Linked DNA regions of Oryctolagus cuniculus. The protein of the gene in region 1 interacts with the protein of each later gene in a pairwise test. Links are inferred from orthologs where the notes say so. Each region holds a gene or a part of one and is shown in the gene's direction. Other genes may lie near its edges.

The links. The genes of interacting proteins can lie anywhere in the genome.
Region 2: the proteins of NGLY1 (region 1) and UBXN2B interact in binary tests that used the Homo sapiens proteins (3 or more experiments, as listed by UniProt). The two-hybrid records come from large-scale screens. The link is inferred for Oryctolagus cuniculus from reciprocal best matches to the Homo sapiens genes NGLY1 and UBXN2B.

Annotation. Positions count from the first base shown.
Region 1 is NC_091435.1:161,843,778-161,848,342, reverse strand, and holds part of NGLY1 (peptide-N(4)-(N-acetyl-beta-glucosaminyl)asparagine amidase), read left to right. Parts: intron 1-854; coding exon 855-1,000; intron 1,001-3,497; coding exon 3,498-3,608; intron 3,609-4,565. UniProt on the Homo sapiens protein: Specifically deglycosylates the denatured form of N-linked glycoproteins in the cytoplasm and assists their proteasome-mediated degradation. Cleaves the beta-aspartyl-glucosamine (GlcNAc) of the glycan and the amide side chain of Asn, converting Asn to Asp.
Region 2 is NC_091437.1:83,595,749-83,600,313, forward strand, and holds part of UBXN2B (UBX domain-containing protein 2B), read left to right. Parts: intron 1-2,227; coding exon 2,228-2,311; intron 2,312-3,354; coding exon 3,355-3,464; intron 3,465-4,565. UniProt on the Homo sapiens protein: Adapter protein required for Golgi and endoplasmic reticulum biogenesis. Involved in Golgi and endoplasmic reticulum maintenance during interphase and in their reassembly at the end of mitosis.

The DNA of each region.
Region 1 (4,565 bases):
AGAGAGGCAAAGACAGAGGAAGAGAAAGATCTTCCATCCACTGGTTTGCTCCCTCAATGGTCACAATGGCCAGAGCTGTGCCAATCTGAAGCCAGGAGCCTGGAGCCTCTTGCAGGCCTCCCACACAGGTGCAGGGCCCAAGAACTTGGGCCATCTTTCACTGCTTTCCTAGGCCACAGTAGAGAGCTGAATCAGAAGTGGAGCAGCCAGAACTAGAACCGGTGGCCATATGGGATGCCAAGGTGGCGGCTTCACCTGCTGTGCCACAGTTCTGGCCCCAGTGCTGTCTTATTTAGAAATAGTTCATGTTTGTCTGCATGTTAAAAAGTTGTTTTCTTTGTTGTTAGAATTTTATCTATGTTTCTGTTGGTTTTTTTAGACTCAAATAAAATCTTCAGTTAATAGTTACTGCTCTCTTAAAAATAAAATATACAGCACCAATAACCAGAGATCCAGTTAGACCTACTGGGTCTAGATCTAAAAGTCTGAAGAGAGAGAGACTGATGTTTCAGAAGTGGTGTGGATGTCCCAGTGTTGCTAGGCTGAGCCTGATGATTTTGGCAGTGTTAATAAATAGGTTCTCCTTTGGAGTTAATTAAGGCTAAAACCAACTTGCATTAAAGATTATTCCAAAAGTGTTTTGGGACATTTTGAAGAGATAGAGAAGTTAATACAAGTATTCTAATCTATATGCCAAAAAATGCTCATATTAACTAAAATTTAGAGTGCTACACATTACCTTATTGTGTGATTCTGATATTAGGGATTATTGTAGTTAGTGAAGAGCATTCTGGTTCTGTAAACTTCACTTTTACCTCCTTTTTCCATTGTTCTCTTCTCCCTGGCTGGAGTAGACCATGTCTGGACTGAAGTCTATTCCGGCTCGCAGCAGCGGTGGCTGCACTGTGACGCATGTGAAGATGTCTGTGACAAGCCACTCCTGTATGAAGTAGGCTGGGGCAAGAAGCTGTCCTATGTACTAGCATTTTCTAAAGACGAGGTAGGGCAAAAGAAAATTTTCTTCTAAGAATAAATATAATGTTGACAGTTTTATTGTATTTACCTATAATATGCTGTATAAATTTAAAGTGTATAATTTAAGTCTTGTCATTTGTGTGCACCTGTGAAATTGTCACTGCAGTCAGTATTGTGTTGTATGGATGTACTATAGTTAGTTTCTGGTTCTGTGCTGAGTGTTATGAACATTCAGGCACACAAATCATATGGGCATACACTTTTCTCTGTCTGTATCATGCTTAGGAGTAGAATGACTGTATCATCCTGAAGTGTATAACTTTTTTTTAAGATGTATTTATTTGAGGCCAGCATTGTGGCAAAGCAAATAAAGCTGCCACCTGCAGTGCCAGCATCCCATGTGGGCACCAGTTTGAGTCCAGGCTGCTCCACTTCCAATCTGGCTCCCTGCTAATGGTCTGGGGAAAGCAGCAGAGGATGGCTCAAGTCCTTAGGCCCCTAACACTCACGTGGGAGACCTGGAAGAAGTTCCTGGCTCCTGTCTTCTGTCTGGTCCAGGCCCAGCTATTGCAACCATCTGGAGAGTGAACCAGCGATGTAAGATCTCTCTGTTTCTCCCTCTCTGTCACTCTGCCTTTCAATTAAATAAATCTTTCTTAACATTTTTTGTTCATCCCCCAGATGACCACAACAGCCAGGCTGGAGCCAGGAACCTGGAACTCCAACCTGTCCCTGACATGGGTGGCAAGGTCCCAAATACTTGGGCCATCTTCTGCTACTTCCCCATGTGCTTTAGCTGCATTGAAAGAGAAACAGCTGGGACTAAAATCTATGCTGCAACATGGGATGCAAGCAGTGACTTCACACACTGCACCACACTATCAACCCCTGTATAACTTTTTAAGAAGCTTCTTAAACTGCTTTTTCGTTAATTTCTTTATTATTTGAGAGACAGCCAGCTGTCATCCTTTGGTTCACTTTCCAAATGCCACAGCAGCCAGGCTGAAGCCAAGAGCCAGGAGCTCAACTCAGGAATCCAAAGTGGGCTGCAAAAACTCCACATGCCTGAAGTGTTACCTGCTTCATCCCAGGGTGCATTCCTGGGATCATGAGTGGAGCCAGTACCCAAATGCAGGTGCTCCAGTGTGGAATTCAGGCAGCCCAAGCAGTGATTTTCCATTACACTAAATTCTTGCCCCCCCCCCAAAATTTGTTCAGTCCTTTATCAAAATTGTGCTTTGCGAAAATTTTTCTCCCTCTATTGTTTATCTTTTCATGTACTTTATGAATGACTTTTGAAGAAAATACCAATGAATTCAATTCGTCAGTCTGTTCTTTTATAGATTATACTTTTTGATGTTGTATGGAGATTTGCCTAGCCCATGGCAACACTGATTTTGTCCTAAGTTTTCTTTTAGAACTTTTATCTATTTAGGTCTGTGTTCCATTTTGAGTTCATTTTTTATATGGTACAAGGTATGGATTGAAGATAATTTTCGACATATGAGTAATGAATTATTATAACAGCATTTGTTGAAAAGATCCTTTATTCCTTGAATTATCTTTGTACCTTGGTCAAAACTTAGTTTTTGTTTTTGTTTTTAAGATTTCACTTATTTATTTGAGAGGCAGACTTATAGACAGAGAGAGGGAGAGAGAGAGAGAGAGAGAAAGGGAGAAAGGAAGGTTTTCCATCCACTGGTTCACTCCCCAAAGAGCCGCAGTAGCTGGAGCTGGACCAATCTGAAGCCAAAATCCAGGTGCTTCTTCTGGGTCTCCCATGCGGGTGCACTTCCACTGCTTTCCCAGGCCATAGCAGAGAGCTGAATTGGAAGAGGAGCAGCTGAGACATGAACTGGCACCCATGTGGGACACCAGCATCTACACCATAGTGACAGCCCTGTAATTCAAATTTAATACAATAAAAAGCAGGTGAAGTTTTTGTCTGTTGAATTTTATCTGGAATAAGTTTTGTATATAAGTTAACCTAGTATTTTGAAAATTTCTTGTTTTAAAACATATTGTTTCTCGAAAGGGCACCTGTTGGAAAATGAATATAAAGTGTATTCTCGGTGGCAGGCACTTGACCTAACAGTTAAGATGCTGGCATCCCATAGTGGATCGTGTGAGTTCAATAGCCATCTCTAACTTCTGACTCCATCTTCCTGGTAATGTGAACTCTGGGCGGCTCACAGAACTTGTTCTCTACCACCCCCGCAGGAGATGTGGATTGAGTTCCTAGCTCCCTGCTTTAGCTCCTGGTCCCAGGCCGTCTCAGGCATTTGGGAAATGAATCAGTGGATTGGAGCTCACACTCATCCACTCTCTATTTGCCTTTCTGCCTCTCAAATGGATTAATAAATAAATGAATAAATATCATATTCTCTTTCACAAGTTTTAAAATTTTAAGCAAAACAGCATTTTTTAAGTTGTGTTTAAAATTATATACATTCCTGCTATTTAACAAATAATGATTGATGCCTATAATCTTATTAAATATTTGTATATGTAATTTGTTTCAGGTAGTCGATGTCACTTGGCGATATTCTTGTAAACATGCAGAGGTAATCTCCAGAAGAAATAAGATTAAAGAAGACTTACTTCGAGAAACTATCAATGGCCTTAATAAGCAGGTATATGATGGATAGTTGTCATTTGTGCTAGGACATTTGACATTTCTTAAGTAATTAAGAATATATAGTTTTCATCCCATTGACAGACTTAATTGTAGCATTATTTATAAGTGAGAATATATTAAGATGTTAAGTGTTCTTTTTTGTTTATTGAAAATTTTGAGGATTCTTTTTAAATATTATGGATTTCTAGATTAAATTGTCAAAACTCTTCTCAAATTTCAGTGAAACAAAATTTGAATATAATGTTACTCAACATAAAAATGTTGTTTATTAAAGTCTTTAATATATATGTACATATGTATGCACATACACCTGTCCATGTATGGAAATTTCTGTATCAAGATACAGGAATTTATTAACAAGGGTGACTTCTGAGAAGAGGAACTAGATGTCCAAGATGGAAAATTTTACTATCCATGTAGACTTTTTTCATAATTAAAAACTAGTTTTCCAGGGCCAGTGCCATGGTGCAGTGGATTGGTCCTCTGCCTGTGGTGCCGGCATCCCATATGGGCACCGGTTCTAGTCCCGGCTGCTCCTCTTCTGATCCCACTCTCAGCTGTGGCCTGGGAAGGCAGTGGAGGATGGCCCAAGTCCTTGGGCCCCTGCACCTGCGTGGGAGACCCGGAAGAGGCTTCTGGCTCCTGGCCATTGTGGCCATCTGGGGAGTGAACCAGCAGATGGAAGACCTCTCTCTCTCTGTCTCTTCCTCTCACTGTAACTCTACCTCTCAAATAAATAAAATCTTAAAACAAAACTAGTTTTCCTTTTGACAGGCAGTTAACATAAGGCAGACCACCTTAGTCCAATTAGTAGTTGAGGTTCAAGGTAAGGTTTCAGTCTGTCGTGAATTTGTTCTTTCTTCCAGCATAAACTCTTCTGAGATCCCATCCAGAAAATTTAGGTAATTTGACTTTCTCCTTTCCAATTTGTATACCTTTGATTTCTTTTTCT
Region 2 (4,565 bases), on another chromosome or scaffold:
AAAATGTTATAAAAATGATATCACGCAATAGGTAAATCTTTTGGGAGTAGTTTTTTCAGCTGGCATAGTGCCCTCAAGGTACTTCAAAGTTATCCCATGTATCAAGACTGTTCTTTCTCTAAGTTGCATTTATGGTATGGATGTACCACAGGTTTGACCATTCATTTATTCAGGGCCATTCTAGCTGTTTCTAGATGCTGATTATCACAAATAAAACTGCTGTGAGCAATCATACATAGGTTTGTCTACAGATGAATTCTAGTTTTTATAGCATAAATGCTCAGGTGTGCAGTTACTGAGTCATATGGTAAGTCCGTGTTGAGTTTAAAGAACCTGCCAAACTGTGTTCCAGAATGGTAATACCATTCTATATTCTCAGTGTATGAGAGACTATTTCTCTTTATCCTATAAGCATTTGACATTGTCACTATTTTTGATTTAGCCATGTTGATAGTTGTATAGTGATAACATACTGTAGTTTGAATTTGCATTTCCCCAATGAGTGATAATGTTAATTTGCATTTTCTTAATTGTTAGTGGTGTTGAACATCATTTCATGTGCTTGTTTGCCATATTTTTTACTCTTTTCAGTGAAATATCTCTTTATGACTTTTGCCCATTGGTTATTATTGAGTTTTGAGAGTTTTTAAAATATTTTAATAAGTATGGGTCCTTTGTCGAATGATATGGTTTACAGATACTCTCAGACTATAATTTATATTTTCATCCTCTTAATTGGAATTTTGCAGAGCAAAAGTTTTAAACTTTAATGCAGTCCAGTTTTTCAGGTTTTTATTTTCTTTTGTGGATCATGCTTCTGTTATTGTCTAAGAACTTTCACCAAACCTTAGAACCACTCATTCTTGCCCATGTTATCCAAAAAAGTTACATAGTCTGCATTTTACACTTAAGCCCATGATTCATTTTGAGTTAGTTTTATGTAAAATGTGAGATTTATATTGTTTCCTTTTTTGCTTATAGATAGCCAGTTGCCCCAATGTATTTGTTGAAAAGGTTCACCATTCTTTGTGAAAGTGCTTTTGTACCTTATTAGATTTCTGTTGAGCATTAATATAGCTTTTTTATCAGCCATCTCAGTATTGGAGTATTGAAGACTTCAAGTGTCTTTATGTCTAATTGTTATTTATTCCCATAATCAGCATTCTCAGCCTGGAATTCTCCAATCACAGTCACTCGGTGAGGTCTTCTAAACTCCCACATGAACTCGCATACGATGGCTTAGAAGGTTGGAGGTGTTCCTAGATGAGTGTCTGCTGAAAAAGCATGTCTTCTCCATATTGATTTTGATATCAATATGGAGAACTATTCTGATGAAACAAATTTTAGTTTTTATTATCTGTCAACAGCTTGAAATGCTTTCTCAGTCAAGTCTTTTTTTTTTTTTTTTAAGATTTATTTATTTATTTGAAAGGCAAAGTTAGAGAGAAAGAGGGAGAAACAGACAGATCTTCCATCTGCTGGTTCACTCCCCAAATTGTAGGGGCTAGGCTAGACCAATGCCAGGAAGCAAGAGCTTCATCTGTATCTCGCACATGGGTGGCAGGGGACCAGGCACTTGGGCCATCTTCTCTTGCTTTCCCAGGTGCATTAGCAGGGAGCTGGATCAGAAGTAGAGCAGCCAGGAATCGAACTAGCACCCATATGGGGTGCTGGTACTACAGGCAGTGGCTTAACCCGCTATGCCACAACACCAACCCCTCAGTCAAGTCTTAAAGTCACTTTGGTTCTTGCAAGCTCTCTGCTTCCATTTTAAAAAAATGTAGAATTGATGATTTAGTCTGTATGGACAAAAAAAAAAAATGTGACAATTAGATCATTGAGGATATTAGGAGTGATTAGAAAGAACAGTATTTTTACTTAGAATCCGCCCTACCTGATGAATGGAAGAACTTGTGATTAGTATAGCAAAATAAAAAGTCTAATCAGAGCTGACTTGTTACAGTTGAATCCAAATAGCTTATAAAATAAGCTTATAGCTTTTCTTCAGGGTCATTTAGACTCATTGATAAAATTCTTCCTTTACTCTAAGACTTGTCATAACATTGTAATGGTAGCTTAAAAATACCTTAGCTACACTTGAAAATACCCATTCCAGTGCATAAATGCTCATCTTAATTTGATTATCTAGTTTATAGTACATCACAATTTGTAATTACACTTTACTTAATAAACCTTTAACTCAATTTTTATCTTACTTTTATTGTAGTCTTTTACAGGTGGAGGATACAGGTTGGGAAATTCCTTTTGTAAGCGGTCTGAATACATCTATGGAGAAAATCAGCTGCAAGATGTAGGTATAGTACTCAAAATGAAAATTGATAGATATTTTCCTTTGGTTACTACTTTTAATTTTGAAATTTAAAACCAAGAATATAAATTTCTTTGTTAACTTTTGAAGCTTTATTCAAAGGATCAATGTGTAAGGTCTCAGTGTAAATTTTTGTATCATGTATCTCATTCATGCCTTATACTTAGAGGTACATAACTGATTGTTGAAAGAATGTGTAGGTGACTGTCAAAATGGGCTTACAGGCCAAGTATCTGGCCTACTGGCTAAGCCCCTGGTTAGGATACCTGTTTCTCACATTTGAGTGCCTGGGTTACATACCAGGCTCTGGCTTCTGATTCCAGTTTCCTGCCAGTGCAGACCCTGGCAGTCAAGGGTGATGTTTAAAATAGTTGACTTCCTGCAACCCATGGAGGAGATGTGGATTGGGTTCTCAGCTCCTGACTTTGGTCTCCCCAGCCATTGTGGGCATTTGGGAGTGAGCCACCAGATAGTAGCTCACTCAGTCTCCCTCCCTGTATGTCCCAATCTCTCTGTTTTTCAAAGAAAATTGTTTTTAAAAGTGTCATATATTGTGATAATGATTATAGTTGGTATAATGAGCTGGGTTGTAAACATAGACACTAAAGTCATTCTTTGTTTCTGTTGCCTTTTAAAATGTTGGAATTATAGTTTCATTTTCAGCATTTATAATTTTCGTAGAAGCACATTGGGACTTCTCTTGCCCTTTATCATGAGTATTTAAGCTCTGTAGCAGAGAAGAGGAAGGGTGGGAGTAGTGGGATCATAGCTGGGTGCCGTCTTCTGTTTTCTTTTACTGGTAGTTGTGCTTCGAGGTCAGGGTCAAGCTGTGGAACCTTTGGTATTTTCAGCCATTATCATTTGTTAAACTGAATGCTAGTCTGCTAAGCAAACTGAATAAAGCACAATAGGGATAAATTCCTATTTTAAATCTAAGTAGCAGTGTAATGTTCTGTGAGATACCACATTGGAAAACTTAGCCTTGTTTGATGGAAATGGTTTCTCCCCTACTCCTTATCTCACAGGTTCAGGTTTTGCTTAAACTGTGGAGCAATGGTTTCAGCTTAGATGATGGAGAATTGAGACCTTACAGTGACCCAACAAATGCTCAGTTTTTGGAGTCTGTTAAGAGAGGGTAAGATACATTATTTGTATTCTGTTACTTGGAATGGGGCTTTTTTTTTTCCCATTAACCAGATGACTATTTAGTGGTGTGCCCTTCTGCTTTTCAAGAGTTGATTACTAGACAGTATTATGTAAGTGATTGCTGGGAGAATGGGCCTTTTTCCCAAGTATGTAAAGGCTGTATTGCTGTCTCAGTCACTACTTCTGGCTTTGAGGGGAAGGGACATGGGACGTTGGATATTGGCCCCGTTTTAAAAATCTTGATGAAACCATGACCCAACTCTAAGCAGAAACATCTTAATATAAGAGATCAGGAAATTGGTTAGCATGTAGCTGCCCGTCCGCTATAGCATTGTCCTGCTTACTGGTGACAGGGTGACTTACACTGCACACTTGCCTGAAATTCAGCAGCTTGTATGAGAACTCTTTAAAGTGGCATTACTACTGGCAGGTAGTTCAAACAGTTAATTTAAAGTGATAATTTGTGAAAGTAGTCCAGAGAGATAGTACTCTAAGCCAACTGAAAAATAATATCAACTCATCAGTCCTTATTGCTACAGGATGAAGAATCAAGTGATTTTTGCTTTGATGATAAAAGCTTTTCTGTGATACAGATTTCACTAGCTGACATGGAATTATTCCTAAGTAGCAGCACAACTAAGGAGATAAAGATGACAATAAGCTGGAAGATGTAGTAATAGGAAGGGACCAGATGACTTAGCATGAATTTTTAATGTAAATTTTGCACAAATGATGTCAGGATACCAGACAAAGGTAAGTAGTGCTATAAGCAGTATGCTGAAGACCTTAAGAAAGGTGAGAAGCTATCCTAGGAGGCAGTGTGTGGTAGTGGCAAACACAAGAATATAATAGTTTGAATCAATGCTATGGATATAGGAACCTGAGGAATCAGTGAGAAGAGGTAGGAGCGTTTGGGGGGCAGAGATGGTCCTCTGTGGTGAAATCCAGCATTACTGTTTCTATGATGCTGATTTTACGATAGTGGAAGAAAAAATACTGATAATCAGAGTACAGTGATATATATTAAGACTAATTTATTGTTAAGTAAAAATCTATAAACTTTGTAGGCTAATACTGAAACAAATGTGGC